Callithrix jacchus: one gene and its partners. The protein of the gene in region 1 binds, or shares a complex with, the protein of each later gene. Links are inferred from orthologs where the notes say so. Each region holds a gene or a part of one and is shown in the gene's direction. Other genes may lie near its edges.

Evidence for each region.
Region 2: STRN (region 1) and STK24 share a complex: the UniProt entries of both Homo sapiens proteins name them as parts of the core of STRIPAK complex. The link is inferred for Callithrix jacchus from reciprocal best matches to the Homo sapiens genes STRN and STK24.
Region 3: STRN (region 1) and STRIP2 share a complex: the UniProt entries of both Homo sapiens proteins name them as parts of the core of STRIPAK complex. The link is inferred for Callithrix jacchus from reciprocal best matches to the Homo sapiens genes STRN and STRIP2.
Region 4: STRN (region 1) and STRIP1 share a complex: the UniProt entries of both Homo sapiens proteins name them as parts of the core of STRIPAK complex. The link is inferred for Callithrix jacchus from reciprocal best matches to the Homo sapiens genes STRN and STRIP1.
Region 5: STRN (region 1) and STK25 share a complex: the UniProt entries of both Homo sapiens proteins name them as parts of the core of STRIPAK complex. The link is inferred for Callithrix jacchus from reciprocal best matches to the Homo sapiens genes STRN and STK25.
Region 6: STRN (region 1) and STK26 share a complex: the UniProt entries of both Homo sapiens proteins name them as parts of the core of STRIPAK complex. The link is inferred for Callithrix jacchus from reciprocal best matches to the Homo sapiens genes STRN and STK26.

The regions. Positions count from the first base shown.
Region 1 is NC_133515.1:78,023,818-78,027,854, forward strand, and holds the start of STRN (striatin), read left to right. Parts: upstream 1-1,237; 5' UTR 1,238-1,602; coding exon 1,603-2,130; coding exon of another isoform or gene 2,131-2,213; coding exon 2,214-2,309; intron 2,310-4,037. UniProt on the Homo sapiens protein: Calmodulin-binding scaffolding protein which is the center of the striatin-interacting phosphatase and kinase (STRIPAK) complexes.
Region 2 is NC_133502.1:14,261,882-14,266,055, reverse strand, and holds the start of STK24 (serine/threonine-protein kinase 24), read left to right. Parts: upstream 1-1,374; 5' UTR 1,375-1,389; coding exon 1,390-1,848; intron 1,849-3,156; exon of another isoform or gene 3,157-3,171; coding exon of another isoform or gene 3,172-3,174; intron 3,175-4,174. UniProt on the Homo sapiens protein: Serine/threonine-protein kinase that acts on both serine and threonine residues and promotes apoptosis in response to stress stimuli and caspase activation.
Region 3 is NC_133512.1:117,737,071-117,740,570, reverse strand, and holds part of STRIP2 (striatin-interacting protein 2), read left to right. Parts: intron 1-940; coding exon 941-1,038; intron 1,039-1,510; coding exon 1,511-1,637; intron 1,638-3,500. UniProt on the Homo sapiens protein: Plays a role in the regulation of cell morphology and cytoskeletal organization. Required in the control of cell shape. Calmodulin-binding scaffolding protein which is the center of the striatin-interacting phosphatase and kinase (STRIPAK) complexes.
Region 4 is NC_133508.1:147,887,854-147,891,948, forward strand, and holds the start of STRIP1 (striatin-interacting protein 1), read left to right. Parts: upstream 1-1,295; 5' UTR 1,296-1,309; coding exon 1,310-1,489; intron 1,490-4,095. UniProt on the Homo sapiens protein: Plays a role in the regulation of cell morphology and cytoskeletal organization. Required in the cortical actin filament dynamics and cell shape. Part of the striatin-interacting phosphatase and kinase (STRIPAK) complexes.
Region 5 is NC_133507.1:162,783,250-162,786,749, reverse strand, and holds part of STK25 (serine/threonine-protein kinase 25), read left to right. Parts: intron 1-712; exon of another isoform or gene 713-882; intron 883-3,087; coding exon 3,088-3,318; intron 3,319-3,500. UniProt on the Homo sapiens protein: Oxidant stress-activated serine/threonine kinase that may play a role in the response to environmental stress.
Region 6 is NC_133524.1:127,582,750-127,586,748, forward strand, and holds the start of STK26 (serine/threonine-protein kinase 26), read left to right. Parts: upstream 1-1,199; 5' UTR 1,200-1,305; intron 1,306-1,404; 5' UTR 1,405-1,513; coding exon 1,514-1,555; intron 1,556-3,999. UniProt on the Homo sapiens protein: Serine/threonine-protein kinase that acts as a mediator of cell growth. Modulates apoptosis. In association with STK24 negatively regulates Golgi reorientation in polarized cell migration upon RHO activation.

The DNA.
Region 1 (4,037 bases):
TGAGCTATAAACGAGAAGACTGGGCTGTATCTCAAAGGACACTGACAGCCAAATAAGTTATGACACAGGGAATTTGGCCAGGCCTGGATCAATCTTTTATGATAATAAAGAATTAATTCATAAAGCAGAAACATCAATTAAGGAGAGAAGAGAGTTCTCCATCTTTATTTGCAACCAGAGCAGATACAATGTGTTTCCTGTCCTTTCTGCAAGTAGCCATGGGAAAGGGGGGAGGGGAGAGAGGACAGGGACAGGATGTCTTTCCCTGACATGTCACTCAGCAGCCTGTATCTTTTCATTTTTTTCATGGCCATCAAGTCTGATAGCCCAGAAGTACGTCCTAGAAAACATAAGAATTCCAGATAACTTGTTAGGGTGATAAAAAGGTGCTTAATTTCATTTGCTTTTTTTTTTTGAAACGGAGTTTTGCTCTTGTTGCCCAGACTGGAGTGCAATGGCGCAATCTCGGCTCACTGCAACCTTCGCCTCCTGGGTTCAAGCAATTTTCCTGCCTCAGTCTCTGGAGTAGCTGGCATTACAGGCATGCGCCACCACACTTAGCTAATTTTGTAGTTTTAGTGGAGACGGGGTTTCCCCATGTTGGTCAGGCCGGTCTCGAACTCCTGAACTCAAGCGATCCACCTACCTCAGCCTCCCAAGGTGCTTTGGTTCACAGGCGTGAGCCACCAAGCCCAGCCTCATTTGCATTTTAAAAATTGTTTTCAAGGGCCTTCCCTTTCTCCCACTGTTGCAGTGTGAATTTATAGTGACATATTGTCAGACTTCGGAAAAGGAAAATATTTACAGAGAGCCACTTAAAAGGAAAGGACTTTGGTGTACCTTTGGTAGGCGGATGCTGTTGCCAGTTTGCAAGTGAATCGTAAAAGAAACTGGAACAGGACAAGTGAAAATGGAGAGGGGACAGGATATCTAAGACTGGGCTAGGAAGCAGAAAGGGACCTTGCTCTTTCAGGTGGTGTCGCTTTGCAGGCAGTGTTATACTTGATTCTATGCCAATCTTTGATAACAGAAATGGTGTCATTTATCTTAATATTCCCAGCGCGAGAGATAACCGATAATCAAAATATATGTTCAATTAAATGGAGTAAAAATGAGCGGGAGTAAGGAAAAATGAGGCAAATAACAAAGCATCTGTTATTGGATGCTAAAACTTTTACAGGATTTACTGCAGAGGGCTGCAAAGGGAAAGAAACTTCAACAGAGCAGGTTTTCCGACGGGCTGTCAACAAACTACAATTTGCAGGCAGCAGCAGCAGCAAGCTGCGGCGCTGTCTTGGAGAGGTGAGCAGCGTTCCTTAGAAATGAAAACTGGTCAGGCAACAGGTTTGAGCCCCTCGAGTCAAAAAAGAAAGGCAGGAGCGACAGCGACCCGCAGACTGGCAGAATGGAGGAGCGTCTAGGGTGATAAAAACTCCGAAGTCGGAGCCGGCACGAGAGCTCGCAGGACTGACGGCGGGAGAACCCGTCCCGCTGCCGCACCAGGTAGTTCGCTTTGACGGTTTCTTCACAGAACGACCAGGAAGCCTTAAACGATACGCGGCTCGGGCTGGTATCTTGGCGTGATAACTTCCGTGTGTGTGTATGTGTGCAACAGGGAGTGCCGCCCGCGTGCTTGTGTGTGTGTGCGCAAAAGGGAGCGCCGCCCGCCAACTTCCGCGTGCAAGGAAGACTGGAGCGCCGCCCGCCCGCGCCCAGCCAGCAATAGGAAACCCGCGCTCCCCGCCAAGCCCGCCCCTCCGCGGCGAGCCGGAGTGGGCGGGACAGGCCCGAAGCCACGCCCCAGCCGAGGCGAAGCCCCACAGGCCGCCTTGGTCTCGCTCGCCCGCGTCCCGCCCCACGACTACATTTCCCGGCAAGCCCCGGGCCACCCGCGCGCTGCAGTTGACCCATTTCCCGGCCCGTCACGGGCTCGGCCGGCCCCCGCGCCCAGGCGGCTGCTCCCTGCTGACTGGGGTGTGGGCGGGAGCGGCGGAGGGAGGAGGAGGCGCTGCTTGCCGCCGCTGTTGCCTCCGCTGCTGGGCGCCGGGGCAGCTCCCCGGGTATCTGCGGCCGCCATGGACGAGCAGGCGGGTCCCGGCGTCTTCTTCAGCAACAACCACCCGGGCGCCGGCGGTGCCAAGGGGCTCGGGCCTCTGGCGGAGGCTGCCGCGGCCGGCGACGGGGCGGCTGCGGCGGGGGCGGCCCGAGCCCAGTACAGTCTCCCAGGGATCCTGCACTTCCTGCAGCACGAGTGGGCCCGCTTCGAGGTGGAGAGAGCCCAGTGGGAGGTGGAGCGGGCGGAGCTGCAGGTAAAGACCCTCCCGGCCTGGCCGTCTTCATCCCGCCTCTTTGCTCCCTTCCGCCCCGCCCCGGACCCTTCTCCCCCTCCCCCAGCCCGCTCGCGTTCCCTCCCCCTTTGCTACCGCCCATCCCACCCTGAGCCCCGTTCCCTTCCTTCCTTCGTCTTTTGCCTTTCGCTGACCCCACCTCAACCCTGTTCTCACTCCTGTTACCTGTGCGTTGTTTACCCTCCCCACGCCTGTTCGTCGCCCCATCCCACTCTTAACTCCCAGGCTCATTTCAACTCTGGCCATCCCGCATCTCAGGGCTGCCCTCTCGGTTTACTAATTGGGCTGGCAATAGTTTTGAGAGACGCGGAGCAAACCGTCCGCTGTCCTGGTGTGCCCCATCCTAGGTCTAGAGACAGTCCCGGCAGAAGGTGCCGGCTTTGGCCCGTCTCTGCGAGGAAGGTGATCAAGAAGACAGCAGAAGTTGTGTCAGTGAGGCCTCGACTTGACACAAGAAGTTGACGTTGAGCAAAAGTGTTATGCATGTATCAGCTCCCTTTTTAATATATGTAAATATCTCCTCCACTTTCTTCCGACCCCCTCCCACGTTTCTTTTAAGTATTTCCAATTAATGCATTTTGAATGAAGGACCTAGATGATCACAGTCAGAGAGAATGGTTCAGAGATGGTTCCTGTTCTCAGAATCTGAAACGTCCCAAGGGTTAATTTTATGTTCAGTGTTTTGGGAGATTTTTTTGTACTTTAAAAGGAAATAGAGGGGCTTTGAAGTTAGTTACATTGCCTTGCATAATCTGCAAGATAAAGTATAGCCAGGGAGGAGATACTGTGGGCTCTGAAAATAATGAAAGTGAGGCTGATACTTTACAGGCCATTCAGAATTGGTGAATAGGTTTTTCAGTGGTTGTTTTAAAACTTTCAAAGCATACACACCAATTTCAAGAGGAACTTAACTATGAATAGTTGTGCCTTTCTGTTTTACGGGCTAAGCCTGTATACTTATGAAATTTGAATATAGTTTTAGTTGGCGAAACACTTGAGTTTAAAATGCTACCCAGTGTGTCACTTTTTTTGGTAACATGTATTTTCTTTGGCACTTAAAAAAAAAAAAAAGAGGAGAAATCTGTTAAATAGAATCATGTGCTGGAACAGGCTCTGTGGTGTAGTGGAAGTGACTGTGGAAAGAGCCAACACACGGGGCTATAGTAGACAAGGTTATAGTAAGGGCTGTGTTTGTTGCTAGGTGTGTGACCTTGAGGAAATCCTTTAACCTCTCTGGGTTTCACTTTTATCATTTATTTATTCAGCACCTGTGTATTGAGTGCCAGTGTCAGTGAGGCCTTGACTTGAGAAGTTGACGTTGAGCAAAAGTGTTACGCATATATCAGCTCCCTTTTTAATTTATGTAAATATCTCTTCTCCACTTTCTTCCGACCCCCTCCCACGTTTCTTTTAGGTATTTCCAATTAATGCATTTTGAATGAAGGACCTAGATGATCACAGTCAGAGAGAATGGTTCAGAGATGGTTCCTGTTCTCAGAATCTGAAACGTCCCAAGGGTTAATTTTATGTTCAGTGTTTTGAAGGCCAGCTATGTGTTTAGGCCCGGGGTTGAAAAAAAAAAAACGACCAAGCTTCTGCCCTCATTGAGTTTATGTTTCAATGAGGCAAACAGTCGAGCAGATGTGCCTATAGAATATAGTGGTTTATAGTGGCAACTGCTGTGAGAAA
Region 2 (4,174 bases), on another chromosome or scaffold:
AGGACCCCAGCACCCTGCCCAGCCTTTGCCACAGCGGTCATCTGTGCGCTGTCTTTTAAACAGAACAGTTTTATTTATCGGAAGTTATTCCTGCTCTCTTACCCTTCATCAGTGAAACCCAGAATGACAAGGACTTTAAGACTGGTGGCGCATGCCTGTAGTCCCAGCTACTGAGGAGGCTGAGGCAGGAGAATTGCTTGAACCCAGGAGGCGGAGGTTGCGGTGAGCCGAGATTGCGCCATTGCACTCCAGCCTGGGTAACAAGAGTGAAACTCCACCTCAAAAAAAAAAAAAAAGAAAGAAAAAGACTGGTGTTGAATTGTATTCAGATCTTAAGCAATTTCTGTGACCTCCCAATTTCTTTAAACTTTCATGTTTCTTTTTTTAGCTTAAAAAAAAAATGAGTTAACATTTTTTCTTGAATGCTTTCTCTTTTTTTTATATTTTCATTTTGTTGGTTTTCCTTATGGAAAGAATTGTTTACAAGTCATGCGGTAATTACGGTATTTGGTGTAATGTAATGCAGGATGTTTCATCTAATATAGAAAGACATTTGCTGCTTTTTAGCTTCTTTATTATTATCCGTATTGATTTAGGGTAATGGATTTGAGTTGTCTAATCACTGACTTTGAGCAGCCGGGAATAAGCTTAAAATCATCTTCCTGAAGCCAAGTCTGGCATTTTTTGATCTGCACATGTGTACATTAGAAATTGCGATGTTGGAGCTCTGCTTTTCCCACAGTGTGCATCTGTGAGACAGGCTCATTGTTAGCAACAGGGACAGTGCAGAAAACACAGATAAGAGAAAAACGTACTGTTAGCATTTCAGTGTACATCATTCCACCTTTTTCTTTGGATGTGTAAATAAGTAACCCTGTCCCCCAACCAAAAGGGGACCAATTCCTGTAATTTTACATTGATGTTTACCTAGGGAGTTTGCAGCTTTAAAAAAATTTTTGGAAAATTTTGATGGACCTATGAATCTTTCCACTTGTCTTATTATTTCTCTAGTAGAAACTGACCGGAAGGGGGGTTTTGCCTTTTACTTATTTTCATTTTCTGATCACTTTTACATCTTTTTAGTGCTTCTACTCTTAGGTAATACAGTTTTCTTTATGTCATTGTTTTCTACTTTTTGCTGCTTTTAATATGAGGTTTATTAGTGATTTTTATTACCTTCATCTCTAGCTGTGTTAATGCTTTTTGGAGATTTTAAAAAAAGGATTATCTGGATTGTCTGTAATTTCTTTGAGTTGAGAGCAGTATTTTTCTGAAATGTTTCCCCTCTCCCTTGGGAATTTGGAAATATTTTCCTTTTGTTTTCTTTTTTACCACTGCCTTTCCTCCACTCGTCAGCGTGGATTCCTTTGGCTTAGGAGGGGACCTGCCATGGGCCGGGCGTGGGGTGAGCGCGGAGGGGCGGGAGCACTGCCTCCTGGGGCAGGTGGCTCTGTCCTCTTCTTTCTCTCCAGCCTGCCCTGCCTTCTGCCTGTGGGCTGTGCCAGCGCCTGCTCTTCTCCGAGGGATGAGATACTCCAGGGGCCTGTGCCACTCCCGGTGGCACCCTCGCATGCTCCCCAGGTGAGGGGTGAGGGCCCAGTTGCCTGGGGCCCACAGCGAAAAGCTGGCCTCTCTACTAGGAAGCCTTCCTGGTTAGGGAAGTGGAGATGCCCTCGTGGACCAGGCCTGCTGGGTGCCTCTGGATCTGCAATTGGGTTCCCACAGGAATGGTACCTGCCATCTCAGCCCCACGTGCCAAGAAAAGGACCTCAGTTTCCCAGCCGCCTGCCCCCTTGCAGGCCTAGGGTCCTGATGTGTTCTCAGTTCTCCCCTCAGCCTGGAGCAGAGGTCAGTGCCTGGCTATGTTACCTGTGGGTTCCGGTTCCGGTAGTTCCTACATTTATTGCAGATGGACTTTTCTTCTCACGCTCCTTCGTTTATTAACGTCAGTGTGGGCCAGAGCAGCCTAACATAATGCGCCTTTCATTTGATGGCTTTTACTGGAAGCCTCTTCATAGCTATTTTTAAACCTGGTGTCCACTAACGTGACTCCAAATTACAGCCAGGATTCTCATACTTGCCAATTTACATTGTGTGGTGTTCTTATGAAGCCTAAGATCAAAAAAGACCCAGAAGTGAAATCAAGTTTCTTTTGTATAGTATGTGGCTTACGCATGTGTTTGACTGAGTCTGCTGGGTACGGAGTCGTGGACGGCAGCTTCTGGTAGCAATCATTCAATTGAAGCCATTGATGACCCACACTGCATCTGCAGGCTGGTAGCTCCTGTCTCACAGTTCGGGGGTGTCCTGCATCCTGTCGTAGTTCTCCGCCATCCTTGGGGGCCAGTTGGGAGTAGAGGGCTTCCGGGCCACACTGTGGGGTCTCCTGTTGCTGCCTCCCCTGCATTCTCTGTCTCTATGCAGCGATAAGATGGCGTCTTCGGGTCTACACCCACCCTTGCCTCACCTGCTGCTTCTCAGCTGCTGTCAGTGGAGCCCAGCTGTTGGACCTTTCGTAGCCTGTGCCTTTATCACGCACCAGAATGTCCTGAGATCAGGACTGAGGCTCCCTGTGAGAGGTGCGGTTTGGGTGGGCCGGGAATTTGGGGCAGCTGTGTTTGTGCTTGGAGGCCTTTTTTTATTTTTGCTTGGTGCTTCTGGAGGATTGAGATTTCTCAGATCTGAGCACAGAATCAAAGTTGAGTTGTGCTTGAATCATTGAGAGAGCTAGAGTTAAGTAAATGTATGCAGACTTCCTGTTGGGTCCAGCTGGGGAGCGCATTTGTTGCATTTGGTTTGCCCTTCAAGTGTTTAGTTATCTTTTTTTTTTTTTTTTTGCTGGGGGTGGGAACAACTCCGTAGGGCACTTGGGTAGATAGGATTTTACCGAAGCTGTGAACTTTGGAGGATGGCATCACTGGTCTTCTCCTCCCAGCTGGAGCACAGCCTCAGCCTCTCTCCTGTGCCCCGGCCTTTGCAGGCACCTCTAGGCCCCGGGGGCTCCCGCACTTGGCCGGCTGCTGTTTTCTGCTACAAGGAGGGGTGAGTCTGAGACTTTGTACTCTGTCCCATTGTCTCCACAAATCTACCTGTTCCTGTCAGGCCGTGCGTTCTGGTGTTGAGTTTGGAAATGATGGGATCTGGATTTCAGCTGACCTCTTGCAGACATACATGGTGAGTGTTGGTACTTGGACGTGTAGATAGAAAAAGTAGGGTAAAAGACAAACTCATAAAAAGTAGAGTCCACCGTTAGCCTTTTAGGGGCTGTGGTCTGTTTTACTTCCCATCGCTTTCACTCCAGGAACAAGGGACTAATAGGGAAAGGAACCTAGGAGCCGGAAACTGAGCATTTATTAGGCGCAGCCCTGTGATGTTAAGGCGTCTGTTAATCTGAAGTGCGTGAACTACCTTATAGGTCTGGGAAGCCATTCATATTTATATGCTAGTTTCCTGAAAAACAGAAAGGGCTGCATGAGTATTTGGGGTTACTGTGTTATCACTTGAGTTGACTCCTGAGTTTTTGAGGCTGGCCCTGTTCTGGTTACCCCCATCAGTAAAAGGCAGGGCTGGGAGGAAGTCGGAACCAACCAACTGGAGAGAGAGAGAGGGGGAGAGAGGGAGGGGGAGGGAGAGAGGGGGAGGGGGGAGAGAGAGAGTGTGTTTGTGTGTGTGTGTGTGTGTGTGTGTGTGTGTGTGTGTATATATACGCGAACGGAGGATGAATGTATTGTTTTTCCCTTAACAGACAAGAGAGTTGGCTAGAACGGTCCCCACTCAGCAATATTTATTTAGGTTTGCACACCTTCCAAAATGTTACTTATTTAAGTCCCATTTACAATACTTAAAAATGGCTGGCATACCAGTCAGTGCTGGGGTCGGTGGAGTGTGGTGCCAAGAAAATATTAAATCATGAGAGCTGATTACCATGCCCAGAAAATAATGCAGTCTTGTGAATGACCTTTGTCTTCAAGCCAGGATAAGAAATGAGTTATAAACGGTCCGTGGTTAAAGTCCCAGTGGGTCCTTGGAGAACAGCAAGTGGAGATGGAACGAGCAGCCTTTGACTCACTTGTGTTCTGTGTCCTTTGATCTGTGCCAAGGAAGACATCATACTTAGCAAGGATTGCTTTGAAACGCACGGTTTTATTTTCTCAGCTAAATATCGTAGCAGCAG
Region 3 (3,500 bases), on another chromosome or scaffold:
GCCGATCCATCCAACACTTGAGCTTGTTTCCTGAGCCTGTGCCCATTTGGCAAGGCATTCTCTGACATGAAACTTCTGACTTTCCTCAGTACTCCTCTGATGGTACTGTTCTCTCTAGTCCTTCTTTGGGAGAGGTGGGGAATAAGTTGAGTTTCTCTACAGGATACATTGGGGACCCTCCTCCGAGATAAGTACTGTAGACCCTTTGATATCTGCTGTGGTCTGTCATGTCCTAGATAGCCTCAGGCTGGGGGGTGGGGAAGATGCCAATGGTTTGGGTTAGAGGAAGGAAAAGAGTGGGAGAAGTTGGGCTTATGCCTCTCACCTTATTTCTACACACTGTCCCTCTCATTCTGTTCTGTCCATATTCCCCTTTGAAAAGAACAGTCTTTTTTTTAATTTATTTTTTTGAGGCAGAGTCTCACTTTATTGCCTAGGCTGGAGTGCAGTGGCATGATCTTGGCTCACTGCAACCTCCACCTCCCGGGTTCAAGTGATTCTCCTGCCTCAGCCTCTCAAATAGCTGGGATTACAGGTATGTGACACCACACCAGCTAATTTTTGTATTTTTAGTAGAGACGGGATTGCGCCATTTTGGCCAGGCTGGTCTTGAACTTCTGACCTCAAGTGATCTGCCTGTCTCAGCCTCTGAAAGTGCTGGGATTACAGGCATCAGCCACCAGGCCAGGCCCTGGAAAGAACAGTCTTGAAGCAGAACAGCCAATGAGCTCCCTCTGGCTTTCTCTTTATCCTCACGGGCAGGCCTCTCAGGACTGGGCACCTGATTGGTCTTCTGGATGCTAGAGAGATATGGTCATTGAGGGAAGAACTTAGAGAATGGCTTTAAAACACTTTTCACAGGGATGTTAAGATGTGGAAGAACCACTGCCTTGCTGAGTGGGTTGGACAGTGGTGGATTTCTTTATTTTCTACTTTCCAGATCGCTCTGCTTAAGATTCTGCTGGCTGCAGCTCCCACCTCCAAGGCTAAGACAGATTCTATCAATATCCTGGCAGATGTCCTACCTGAGGAGATGCCGTGAGTGCTTCAATGGGGGCAGCTGCTGGATACTAGCTGTCTTATCTGCAGGGTCTCTCTAGTCCCCACTCACCTTGTTAATACTTACAGAGATTGTCTCCAAAGAGATCTCCCCCTCTCTCCACACCTGTACCCCCTTTCCCCTACAGGGCTTTCTGCTTGGCTCTTTTTAGCTCAGAACTCAGGATCTGGAGGGTGATATGAGTGCCAGTGACTGGCTGCCCAGATATATGGGTGAACATTCCCAAGGGATGAACTTGCCAAAAGAGAGAGACAGAAACAAAGAAATCAGTGGAATATTTCTTCAGACAGGCTGATAAGTGGTAACTCTGGAGGTTTCCCTGGCACAGAAGTTCAAGTTTTCCAAGTTTTGGCTCTCATGTGTACATTGTATCAGACCCAAATACCTGGATCCCTACAGGGCTCCCTTTAAGGCCACTCTCTGCGCTAATACCTTCTCTCCCCATTGTAGCATCACTGTTCTCCAGAGCATGAAGCTGGGCATTGATGTGAACAGGCACAAGGAGATTATTGTAAAGAGTATCTCTACCCTGCTTCTGCTACTCCTCAAACACTTCAAACTCAACCATATCTACCAGGTGAGCAGCTAGCAGCTCTTCTCCACAGGTCTTGGATGTTTTCCAGGCCCTATCTTTCAAAGGAAGGATACGAGGGCCCTTATAATCCTGACGAGCATCTTTCAGCCTTTTCTTTGCCCTTCCTCAGAGAATCTGGCCACCCATTAGTGTTATGGAGTGGGAACTGTCCTAGAAAGGTACAGATGTCTGTGTCCCTTGTAAGTTATCCCAGGGTTATGGATAGGAATCTCTAGGTTCTCAAGAATATGCCCAGCCAGTTTTTGAAACAATGCAAGAGAGAGTGCAAACATTTCACACAAATGGGGGGAAAAGTATGTTGACCATACTTTTCTATATGTGAAGCACTTTTCTGACATTTGAGGTATATTCTGAATAAGGCACAGTTCTGTCTCTTTGGGGCCTTGAAATCTTGTAAAGGATACAGATATATAAGTAACCAATTATAGTGAGATAAGTGCTCTGATACAGGTAAGCACTGATTGCTATGCAAACACCTGATTCAGCTTGAGGTGGAGAAGAAATGACTTCTAACCTGAGTCCTAAAAAAACAGATGCTAGCCACGATATGAGAATTGTTAGGGAAGGAGGACAGGAGGCATTTCAAGCAGAAAAGTTAATATGCAAAAGTCCAGAGGGGGAAGAGAGAGAGAGAGCAAAGTACCTTTAGAAACTAATTAAATGTTGCTGGAGTTCTGCCTGGGGTGGGGAAAGATGAGCATGGCCTGGTGATACATGAAGCTGAAGGGATCAGCAGGGAGCAGATCATAATCTATATGCTAGCACACAATTACTGAGCACCTGTCCTGTGCCCAGCACCCTGTTAAGCTTATTTAGGCCCTCATTCTCTCCACCCTATGAAGTAGTCTTATTTAATACCTCTTTTATAAATGATGAAATCGAAGCTAAGAAAAGTTAAGAAGCTGCTTTCCCATAAAACATTGTTTGCCATGCTAAGGAGTTTGGACTTGGTTTCATGGCGTTGCCAATATATAAGGACAAGATGGGGACAGCAAATGGATGCTCCTGTCTGTGAGGAGACCACAGGGAGAATAGGAATGCTTCTCATTCTTGCCTAGAGGCTCCACCCCATTTTCCTCCTAAGAAGTCAGAATCAAGCTTGCTGGTAGAAGAGCAGGTCCTCAGAGTACAGAGAGGCTCCTGCAGGGTCTATGTCATGGCCCTATCAACCAGGGTATTTTTCCATTTTCATACCTTCAAAGACATCTTTGGGTATGTTCGGTTGCCCTCGGTGCTCCCACTTTTGCCAATGTTTGCTGAGTAGCAGCAGGGCTGGGAGGAATAGGGGTAGGTAGGAGATAATGTTGCTAGTGTAAAGAGAACAGAGAACTGTGGATGTGTGTTTACTTCTGCTTATCTTGGTGGGAAGTATGTGGATTCATAGCTAGACAGGTGGGTGGCTTGATGGGCCTTGGCAGTGTGTCAGTGAATCCTGACAGGGCCACAGGCACATCTCAAACTAAAAAAAGCTTTCCATCAGTTAATACTGGATATGTATTGGCTCTTCTGTCTGGGGCTTTGGAAAATACACTGGATTTTATAAATATATAACCTTACAGGGAGAAAATATTGAGCAGAAGAGGGAAGTGGTCTTGTCATAAGCTGACTCCCCTGCTCTAATTACATACCCAGGATCATTAGGCAGCTTAGCTTGCTGCTTGGCTACTTGTTGGTGATCAGAGAGCTGAGGATTTAAAACACCACAGTTCTCTGCTTTTTCAACCTCATTTCTATACTGTCCCAGCACACTAGGTTCTGGATCTGGAGTTAAACTGTGTTTGACACTCCTTAGTGTGTCATGGGTAACAAAAACGCCATGACACTGCTCTTATAGCTACTTGCCCC
Region 4 (4,095 bases), on another chromosome or scaffold:
CTTTGGCCAAAGCTCTAGGCTAGCTTCTGTGAGTCTTCTGCCTGACTGGGCCCAACCCCTTGGGCTTCCCTTTCTGGCCTTGTCGAACCCAGTCTGTGCAAGAACGCTCCACTCTTGGTGTCTTAGTCCATTTTTTTGTTGCTATAACAGAATACCAAAGACTGGATAATTTCTAAAGGAAAGAAAGTTATTTTTTGCAGTTCTGGAGTCTGGAGAGCCCAAAGTCAAGGGGTTGGGTCTGGTGAGGACTTTCTTAAACTGCATAGGGAGAGAGCAAGAGCACGTGGGCCAGCTCAGATCGCTCCTCCTCTTATAAAGTCATCAGTCCCCTCACAGGGACCCTACCCTGATGACTTTATCTAATCCTGATTATCCCCTCAAAGCTCCACCTCCAAATACCATCAACATATGAATTTGAGGATTGAGTTTCCAACATATGGAATTTGGGAGACACATTCAAACCATAACACTTGGTATCTGACCACCCTCAATATCTTAGCACCCTATCCTGCTTTCAGCAATAATCCTGTTAGGTCAGTTTAGCAAGAAACTTCTTATCCTTGATGTTTCTCTTAGTAATTTTCTGTCCACTGACTCTCATCCTGCTTTTTGATCATAAATCCCTACTATTTCTTGTTGGAGTCAGAGTTAAGTTCAATTCCTCTTCTTCACTGCAAGGTCTGGTTGTAGCGGTCTCTAGAACTATCACCTGGGCTCTCTGACATAACGTCTGCCTTACCATCTTTAATTAGTTTCACGAGCAAATTTTCCTCTGACACTTTTCAGCATTTATTTCTCTATATTTGTCTATTGTTTGTTGGACCCACCAAGCACTGTTATGTACCATGACTGCAGACACTTGTCCCTCATTTTATCTTAACCGCTTGGCACACAGGAGACATTTATTCAATGTTTGTTGAATGAGTGATTAGCACTCATCACAACTGTAACTCTGTGAAGACTAGGATCCTACCCATTTTGTTCTTTACAAAATACCGCCTAAGACTTGAACAAGTCTTCGATAAGTGCAAAGCGATTTAGAGGAAGGAGGGGTGACTAAACTGACTGAAGAAGCTAAGGGAAGCCTCACAAATACAATTACATTGAAACTGAAACTGAAAGGGAGGAAAACTAAAAAGATCAAGAAGGGAAGAACTGCAGACAGTATCGTGCTGGTCAGCCAAGATGGCTTCTATCGCAGGCCGCCACACTTAATATGGCGACCAGGTAAAGTTCCTGGAGAAAATCACGCGAGAGTTGCATCACGGCGGCTGTCCGCGAAATAAGCTGGGGGTGTGGAGCAGCCAAGATGGAGCCGGCAGCCGGCAGTCCGGGCCCACTGATCGTGAACAACAAGCAGCCCCAGCCTCCGCCACCTCCGCCGCCGGCAACCGCACAGCCTCCACCTGGGGGACCGCGGGCCGGCGCGGGCCTCCTGCCCGGGGGCAAAGCCCGCGAGTTCAACCGCAACCAGCGCAAAGACTCGGAGGTCAGGAGCTTCGGGGGCGAGGCTCGCACCGGGCGGGGGGCGCCGGGGGTCCCGGGCATTGGGCCGCTCTAGGGGCCAGGCTGGGCTTCCCGAAGGGCTCGGTAGAGCCCGGCCGGGAGCTGTCATTATACAGCGAAAGGAGCAGGAAGCGAGGTTGGCAGCTCCTGGGGTCAGAGGCATGAAGCCCGGGTCCCCGCTCGAGCTCCGCCGCCCAGGAGAGCGTCCCGGAGCCTGCGATCGCTGGTTTGCTCTCCTGGGCCCCGGCTGTGGGCGTGGCCTCGAGGCCCCTGACCCTGGGAAGCCTCCTTCACCCCAACTCGCGGGTGGGAATTTGGGGGTCTGCGTGCACTCCAGGGCGCTGGGCGGCCGCGCCCCCAACCTCTAAACCTCTCGGGCCTCTGCCCCTGGTACTGGGGCGCAGGCTCCTGGGTCGTGCCGCGCGCAGAGGACGGCGCGTGTGGGCAGGCAAGGCACCGGCGAGGATCTAGGAGGCACTTAAGGCCAGACCGAGATAGTTATCACTGAGAGTATTGCGCTGCCGGAGGTTCCGAGAGTAGGAGGGGGAAACTATGCCTTGTTCTTCTGACCTGAGCCGGATCGGGCCATGGGTTGACAGTGCCTCTGGTGGGTATTTTGCCCAGTGCGCCTGATACTGAACTGTTAAAGATGAGAAATAGACATTTTAAAACATGCATTAGGACCCAGCATTCCTTCCTCTCTCTCTAGTGAGCAGTTCCTGCCGTTCTGGAGATGGCATAGTCTGGAGCCGACTAGTAACCTCACCCCAAGTTAAAGAATTCCTCCCACTGCCTTCCTCTGCAGAATTCATGAATGAAGATACACATGTCGGGGCGTTTTAGGGCTTCTTAATCAGCACGTTCCCAGAGCACTTACTATGCCATCTCCTATGTTAATCAGCCCCCAAGCGAATCAGCCAAGTTAATGAGAGGGAATTCCTCATTGTCCAAGCATAATGTACTCATAGAGCAATGATACTATCTTTAGACTTGTGAAATCAGTTCCTCACAAGCTTTTGTTTTTGTTAGCAAGCCTAAACCCCTGATAAAACGTGTCAACAATTGGCAACCCCAAAGTAGAAGTAATCTGAGCTTAGAGTGAATAATTTGAAAAAACAAAGAAACTGACCTTTAAGGAGCCCTTGCATGCTAGGATGATGGACATCAGTGGTAACTACTCAGTTTTTCCTTTTTTTTTTTTGAGACGGAGTTTCGCTCTTGTGACCCAGGCTGGAGTGCAATGGCGCGATCTCGGCTCACCGCACCCTCCACCTCTTGGGTTCAAGCAATTCTCCCGCCTCAGTCTCCTGAGTAGCTGGGATTACAGGCACGCGCCGCCACCACCACGCCCAGCTAATTTTTTGTATTTTTAGTAGAGACGGGGTTTCACCATGTTGACCAGGATGGTCTTGATCTCTTGACCTCGTGATCCACCGCCTCGGCCTCCCAAAATGCTGGGTTTACAGGCTTGAGAGGATTACTAAAGTGGAGGGTAGTGAACTTCCTTCATCATGAGAGGAGTTATCATTTTGAAAAACGGTTTAAATTTTCCTAAGTAGCTATGAATGGTCAAATAAATACCCTTTGACGAATTTTAATTTCTCTTTTTACCCCTTAATTTCCACATAGAGGCCGGGTGTGGTAGCTCACGCCTGTAATCCCATCACTTTGGGAAGCCCGGGGAGGGGGGGCGGATCACGAGGTCAGGAGATGGAGATCCTGGCTAACACGGTGAAACCCCGTCTCTACTAAAAATACAAAAAATTAGCAGGGTATGGAGGCACGGGGCCTGTAGTCTCAACTACTTGGGAGGCTGAGGCAGGAGAATCACTTGAACTTGGAAGGTGGAGGTTGCAGTGAGCGGAGAGAGATCATGCCACAGCACTCCAGCCTGGGCAAGAGAGCGAGACTCCGCCTCCAAATACATACATACATACATTTCCGAATAGACTAATTTAATGAAAGACCAGTCAAATGGACACATTTAAGCAGAGACCTGTCTAAATCCATTTCTTTTTTTTTTTTTTTTTTTAAGATGGGGTTTCACCATGATGGCCAGGCTGGTGTTGAACTCCTGACCTTAGGTGATCCATGCACCTCGGCCTCCCAAAGTGCTAGGATTACAGGCGTGAGCCACCGTGCCTGGCTAAATCCATTTCTTTAAAGAGGCTGATGCTGTGATCTTCCTTTAGTCATAGCTGAAATCTGTAGTTGGGAGCTTGATCAGTGAATGCCTGGAGGACAGGGAGGCTGGCATTTTATGAGAGCCCACTGTGTACTACATAATTTTGATTAGTCCTTAAAAATCTTCAAGGTAGGGTTTCATAATTGCCATTCAATGAATGAAGTAACTGAAGTTCAGTAACTTGTGTGAGTGTACACTGTGTTGTCTCTGAACATAGTGTGGAGTTCTTGTTTGTGGGAGTGGTTTTGTTTTGTTTTTGAGACAGGGTCTCCCTCTGTTGCCCAGGCTGGAGTGCTGTGGCTCTATTTCTGCTCACTGCAACCTCCACCTCCTGGGCTCAAGATATTCTCCTGCTTTAGCCTCCCCAGTAGCTGGGATTACAGGTGTGCACCACCATGCCTGGC
Region 5 (3,500 bases), on another chromosome or scaffold:
ATGGGCTGAGCAAACAAGGAGGATTTGAGGCCCCTTTGGGCCTGCGGGGGAGGAGCAGGCAGAAGGGGGGCTGCTGCTCTGGATCACCTGAGGTCAGGAGTTTGAGACCAGCCTGGCCAACATGGTGAAACCCCGTCTCTACAAAAATAAAAAAAAAGAATTAGGTGGGCATAATGGTGGGTGCCTGTAATCCCAGCTACTCGGGAGGTTGAGGTGGGAGAGTTACTTGAATGCGGGAGATGGAGGTTGCAGCGAGCTGAGATTGCGCCACTGCCTTCCAGCCTGGGCAACAGAGTGAAACTCTGTCTCAAAAGAAAAAACAAAGAGAAAAGGGGCTGCTTCTTAACTTGGTCCTGCACCTGGCATCCAAGACTGGGCCTCCACCAGAAATGGAGATGGCACTCTCTATGGCAAGCGGGCGATGTTTTCACACTGACCGCTTACGTGCGACGGCCTTTGGGCGGATGAGCTTACGCTTTGACATGCACCTGTGGTCTCAGCTACTCTGGAGGCCAAGGAGACCTGCCTGGGCAACACAGCAAGACCCCCATCCCCCAAAAAGAAAAAAAGATGGCATGTCCTCGGTTGACTTTCCTTTCAGATAGGTGCTGATTCTGATTTGATCTGTGCTGCCCACCCCCAACCTGGAGACAGCTGAGCACCCGGGACTTGTCAGCCACGCTGGAGTGAATTTTTCCTGGCTTCTCTTTAGAACATGTCAGCAGCAGTGGTGGGGCTGGGGACACAACTCACCTGGGCCAGCACGACCGGAGGGACCCCAGGCAAAAGTCAGCTCTCTCTATCCGGCCGAGTTTCTTGACCTTGGCTTCGGGGACTCCTGGTAGCAGTGGGCTCAAGGCACCCCTGCTGTCACCTCCATGGGTACTGGCTTTAGGACTGGGCTGGTGGTACTGATGAGGGAGTGAGAGAGGTCACTTTTGACTGGACCAACTGTCTCAACTGGTCAGATGTTTGGGCTGAGCCAGGGTCTGTGTGGACACTGCATCTGGCTGCTCTGGCTGCTGCATGCAGGCCACGTGCTAACAAGCCAGCCTTGTGGGGAAGGGTTAGGTGGCCTCTGGCCCTTCTGCAGCCGCCTTTTCTTCTCCAGAGTTCTGTCACCTCGGGGTCTGGCAGGCACTAAGAAAGGGATATGTAGCAGCATGTTTCAAGATGGGGGCCTGTGTGCCGCCTCTTCCACCCTCCTGGTTACAAACCTTGGGAGGGCAGCTAATTGGCAGTTTCACATGGAAATGTCGCCTCAGGCTGGCACAATGTCCAGTCGGCCTCATCCAAGTGCTCTGCTGGACTTGGGCCGGGGGCAGCCCCAGCACACAGGTGTCCAGAGGATGAGTGTGAGGGCTGTTTGTGGTGCACCCCATCCTTCTTGGAGGGCATGGTCTCCCCAGGAACGTGGAGGGCACCCCCAACCCAAGGACCTGTCGTGTGTCAGCAGCAGAATGAGTTGGGCCTCAGTGTTTTTGTGGCATAGTCACTCTGCCTTTTTATGCTTTGCTACACTAAATTGGCATCAAGACCCTGTCATAGGGGAGGGGTTGGGCATGGTGGTTCATGCCTGTAATCCCAGTACTTTGGGAGGCCAAGGTGGGCAGATCACCCGAGGCCAAGAGTTCAAGACCAGCCTGGCCAACATGGTGAAACCTTCTCTCTACTAAAAATACAAAAAATTAGCTGAGCATGGTGGCGCACGCCTGTAATTCCAGCTACTCACGAGGCTGAGGCAGGAGAATCACTTGAACCCAGGAGGCGGAGGTTGCAGTGAGCCAAGATCGCACCACTGCACTCCATCCTGGGTGACAGAGTGAGACTCCCATCTAAAAAAAAAAATGTGGGTGGAGGCCTGAGGACATACCTCTGCTGGCTTCCCCTGGACTCTGGGCCACAGACCAGGCACTTTCCACACCAGCGACTCAGAAACTTTCAGGCTTTGCTTCTTTAGATCTGAGGACTGTGAGGCACACCAGTTTCTAACTCTGTGCCGGTGTAGCTGTCGGGAGACTGATTTGGGAGTGAGGAGGCCCTTTCTAAGTCTGTGGCTTTCAGGAGTGAAGGAGAACTTGGTTAACACATACCGAGGTCTGAGGTTTTTGATGAGTTCGTTTATTTTTTTATTTTTTTTTGAGATGGAATTTTGCTCTTGTTGCTCAGGGTGGTGCGTCCTAGGTACAAGTGATTCTCCTGTGTCGGCCTCCTGAGTAGCTGGGATTACAGGCCTGCACCACCACGCCTACATTTTTTTGTGTTTATTAGAGTCGAGGTTTTATCGTGTTAGGCTGGTTGCAAACTCCTGACCTCAGGTGATCCACCCACCTCGGCCTCCCAAAGTGCTGGGATTTCAGGTGTGCACCGATGCGCCTGGCCTGATGTTTTTTTTTTTTGAGATGGAGTCGCCATCTGTCACCTAGGCTGGAGTACAGTGGCGCCATCTGTGCTCACTGCAACCTCTGCCTCCCGGGTTCAAGCAATTCTGCCTCAGCCTCCTGAGTAGCTGGGATTACAGGCCTGCACCACCACACCTGGCCAATTTTTTTTTTTTATTTTTAGTAGCGACGGGTTTTCACCATATTGGCCAGGCTGGTCTCAAACTTTTGACCTCAGGTGATCTGCCCACCTGGCCTTCCCAAAGTGTTGGGATTACAGACATGAGCCACTGTGCCTGGCCCTGATGAGTCTATTTTTTTAGTAGTTTCAGATTTATAGCAAATTAAGTTTCCAAATCCACCCTCATCCCATGGGGCCATTAGCCTATTAAGATCTCTCACGGGGCTGGCCTGCCATTAGCCGGTAGGGTTAGATGAGGCCTGTCATCACCTAAGGCTCCTGGTTTCCGGCAGGGTTCATTGAGTTGGCCTGGCCTCCTTATACTTTCTGGGGACTTTTTCCCTTGCATGGAAGTTGTTCAGGTTTCAAACAAAAGGGATAAAAGAAGAAAGCAGAGAAGAATTGAGGTGCGCTCTCTCGGGCTCCGCCTTCCTTACAGGTCCCTCCCCATCAGGGCAGCCTCTGCCTGTCCCCCGCCTGCCTCTTGTGACCGGCACTGTCTGCCCTCTCCCCACTGGCCCACAGCACTCTCGAGTGGATCCGGAGGAGCTCTTCACCAAGCTCGACCGCATTGGCAAGGGTTCGTTTGGGGAGGTCTACAAGGGCATCGATAACCACACCAAGGAGGTGGTGGCCATCAAGATCATCGACTTGGAGGAGGCGGAGGATGAGATTGAGGACATCCAGCAGGAGATCACCGTGCTCAGCCAGTGCGACAGCCCCTACATCACCCGCTACTTCGGCTCCTACCTGAAGGTGCCTGTGGGAGGCGGGGGCCCTGCTGGTGCTGTGCCTGACCCTCTTCCATGTCAGAGGGACGGAGTGACATGCCAGGGTGGGCTAGTGGGGGAGGGCGCAACGCAGCCATGACAGTGCACACCCTCCAGGAAATTGCCCCAGGGCAGGTGGGGTATGAGCAGGGTCCAGGAGGGTAAGTC
Region 6 (3,999 bases), on another chromosome or scaffold:
GGTTCAGTAAGGTATTAATAACACACAGAAAGCACTTAGCAGTCTCTGGCACAAAGAAGATGACATCCATTAATGATAACGATATTGATAAGAATCATATATTATTCTCTGAAAAAGATGTAAAAGGAAGAAGAGAAACTACTATTTACCACTAGAGGCCCCCCACCGTGTGGTGGTTAGAGACCCAAAACAAACTTCAAAGTAAAGAACTTCATTTTAAACTGGCATTCGACTATTACGTTTTTAAAAAGTAATTAACCCCTTATGTGTTCCCAAAGGTGCCTTCATAATGAAATTCCTGTTGCTATTATTACCAGTGTTACTGTCGCTGTTAGAGTACTCTCAAAAGAGCCTGTCTCCCTCCCGCAGTGGAACTTAAAATGCGGCGGAGGCAGGGAGTTACCAAAATCGCTGCTGTGTATGCCGAATTCAACAACCTGTACTGCTGACGATCCAATCTCATTTCCCAAGCCTCTACTATCCTCATTAACTTTTCTGCTGATATAACATCTGCTTTCCATTTTCCCTCTGCCTTTACACGTGCAGAACTTGTGGTAGAGAGAAGCCCCAGTTTGGCCGTCCTGCAAGTGATAGCCAAAGAGGTAGGGGGAACCTTAGGTTAGAAGTCATCTGAACCATGTCTGGGGTCGGGGAACTCGTAAAGCTTGAGTGTGGCTACTGGTCTGCCCAGAGGAGCAGCCCCCAGCTGAGGAGGCCAGATGGCGGGAAAAAGCGGGGGCCGCCGACTCCGCGGCTGTGATCCCGCCCTAGGCCAGGCCGGGGAGCCAAGAAAGACTTCCAACACTCCCAAGTTTCAACTCAAGTCGTCTCCGAGGGTGCGTGTGCCCCAGCCTCGCACGCCCGCCTGCAACAAGGTCGCATCTAGGACGCCCTCATACCCTCAGGGTTTCCCAAACTCTTCCATTCTCTTCCCAGGCCCAGCCGTGTTCCAGGTCTCCCGTTCGCCGGGTTCTCCTCACCCCATGCCGGGAGAGTCTCCAGCTTCTCAGACTCCAGCAACCCCAGCCAAACCCCTTCGCTGCCTGGAGCCTTGGCTCCCGCGACACCGCCCGGCTGCGGGGCGGGGGCAGGGCCAACGGCGGAACCGCCCCCAGCCGCCTCCCGGGCCAGGCAAGCAGGCGGGTGGCTGGGACGCCTCCACCTCCTCTTCCTAAAGCGGCGAGGCGCAGAGGAGCGGCATCACTCGAGCCCAGGTCCCAGCCACCACCACTCACAGCGCTCGGCGTTCAGGAAGAGGAGCAGCAGCGGAGGCGGCTGCTTCAGTGGCGGGCGGGCGCCAGAAAGGTAGACTGAGTCCCAGGGAGCCCCGCCGCGAACAACCCACCTCCCAGCCCGGGCTACGCGCCTCCAGCCCAGTAACCCCACTTCTGTGTGTCCTTCCAGGCCCCTAACGACAAGCCTGGGAGGGCCGCCGAACTACCCCTGGAGGAGGAGCCAGTCCGAACTCAAGGCGCTACCGCCGCAGAAGCGGAGCGAGGCTACAGTCGCCTCCATGGCCCACTCACCAGTGGCTGTCCAAGTGCCTGGGATGCAGGTGAGGAAGCGCAGGCCGCCCCCCGCCGCCCACGTGACTGCTTGGGAGCCCGGAGCGCTCTCGGTGCTGGGCACCGACGACAAGGGACGGCCCCGGGACTCCCCTGAGGGCTGGGCCGGTCACTCTGGCCAGGTGACCTGGGAGTAGGGCTTGAGGTGTTTCCTGGTGTGTAGGCTAGGTGGTGCTCTTCGCTGGGAAGGCGAGGCGGGACTGGAGCGCGCAACTAGGTGGGGATTGAGGGCGGCTGTGGGGTATAAAAATAGGCCAGAGCCACAGACACCTGCGCCTGTGGAGCTTGGCACGGTTGGGGATGGGAGGGGGGGAGAACTTAACCTGCGAGACATGAAAGTGCCTTGGAAGTTGTGGGGTAAAACGCGAGTAGTGAGTGCCCTACAACCCCCACCCCAAACACGCACTCAAGCTGGGGCGGGGCAAGACCAGGGGTGTCGGCGGCAGCTTGAATTGGGCTCTTCCTGTGTGCGTAGGGCTGAGAGAGAGAGGTGACCTCTTTCTCCCTTTCGGTACTGCTGCTTAAGGGCAAAGTTGTATCTGGCTCCCCGACCTGGCCCAGCCCATAGCGTGGAGCGAGAAATGTTGGTCCTGTTCAGAGTCGCTGAAGTGATGAGTTCCCAGCCCCCCTCCGTGCCTTTCCCACGAGATGACTTACATGTGGTTAAAGTAAGCATATTGTCCTGGACAAGGGACTACTGCATGGGACCCAACTTCTTACTCAAAGTCTACCCAGCCCAACCCCCTCCCATTATATTTTCATTTTATTAAAGGTAAGCCATGTTGGAAAACTTCTCATGCTGTTATGTTTTTAAATCGGTGCACTTTAGGCTATCTGCTAAATGTTATCCAAATCTACCAACTTTTTAAAGTATTCACTTTTTTTCCCTTTGCTAGATAGCCCAAACAACCCATTTATGAATAGTTTAGAGGCTAAAAACAAGAAAGCCTCAGTCTCTCATGATCTAAAAATGTGAAAACAAACTTTTTTCAAGTTCAGAAATAAAATGTTTAGAGTAGCAAATAGCTTATATTTACTGTAGACTTGGGCCTCAATTTACTTATTAGCAGTGTTCTCATTTTATGCATGCCCACAAAAGTGATTTTAAAATTATTTCCCAGAAAGGGATCATTTGTGCACCTAGAACTCCTGGTGTGTCCTAAACATCAGACATTTCAGCTGCATTTAGGGCAAGTCTGGGTTGAGTCTCAGGAAGTTAGTGTATATTAAAGAGAGAGAAAGGGAAATAGGAAATAGTAGGGCTTAAGAAAAAAAAAAGATTAATCCATTCAAGCCTTGCAAAATGTCTCAGACTTTCTTCCTCTCAGGCGGCCTCCCCTCTCTTCCCCCCCCTTTTCCCCACACACCCTGTCCCACACCCCATTCATTCAGTTCTGCCTTTGATTGTATCAAGGGAATTCATAGTTTGCAATACTAAGTACAGTTTTGCCGTCGGATCTGGGAAAAAGTGACATTTTCCCACCGTGCTCTTCTTTCCGTTCTATGGAGAGTGGAACGATGCACACGTGAAGTTTGTCTCTGAGGGTCTCCATGCTTCTCGCTCCATTGTGTGCGTGAGCCTGCGTGTGTGCGTCAGCAGAGTGAGTGCCTCCCGTTCTCAAGTTTGTGATTCTGGGGAACTCTGTGTGCTAAGGAGAAAATAGTTTCCGATCTTTACTTTATTTGTCTTGACCTTATTGAATTTATATGGTTTAGGAACTGCTTACTGTTCAGTATTTCTAAGTGCTGTTCCCTGCTTTGTTTAAAGATCTGAGTTGCCTATCTCTTGAATATTTACATCTTAATTAATGTGGATTCGAATGTGAATCACATACTTTAAATTACAAACTCTGCCTTTCACTGCTGTCTGAATTCTGATTACTTTGTCCCATCTAATCTGAGTAGGGCAAACATCTCAATGTTAGCAGAGAAGAGAGGAATTATTATTATTTTTATTTTTTGGTCATTCTCTTCATCTTAATGAAATGGTAAATTCTTCTTATTTCCATTTTCTTTCTAAATGTACTTCTTAAGCACTTTGTGCAACACATAGTTTTTTCCATAGTTGAAATTGTACAATACCCTAATAATAAATGTGAGAGCACGCAGTGTGACTCTTGAACCTAGACTATTTCTGTTATTGTTATATAGCAAAATATTGCGGATGAGATGCAGAAATTCGTTGCAAGCTTGTAAAATGCTCCTAGAGTTTTATGAAAGCCTTAGGAGCAACTTTTAGATTTTTAGAAAACTTGAGTTAGCCATGTGTTCTTGAAATTACTGTATGGTGTTTCCACAAATCAGGGTGAGGTGACCGGCCAGCCTATAACTTTTTAACAGTTTATTTTAGAGAATTATGAAGATTGATGGGAAAAACGATTTTTCCAGAAATAAAAACAAAATTATCCACAATTTTTTTCTCCCTCTGAGGAGA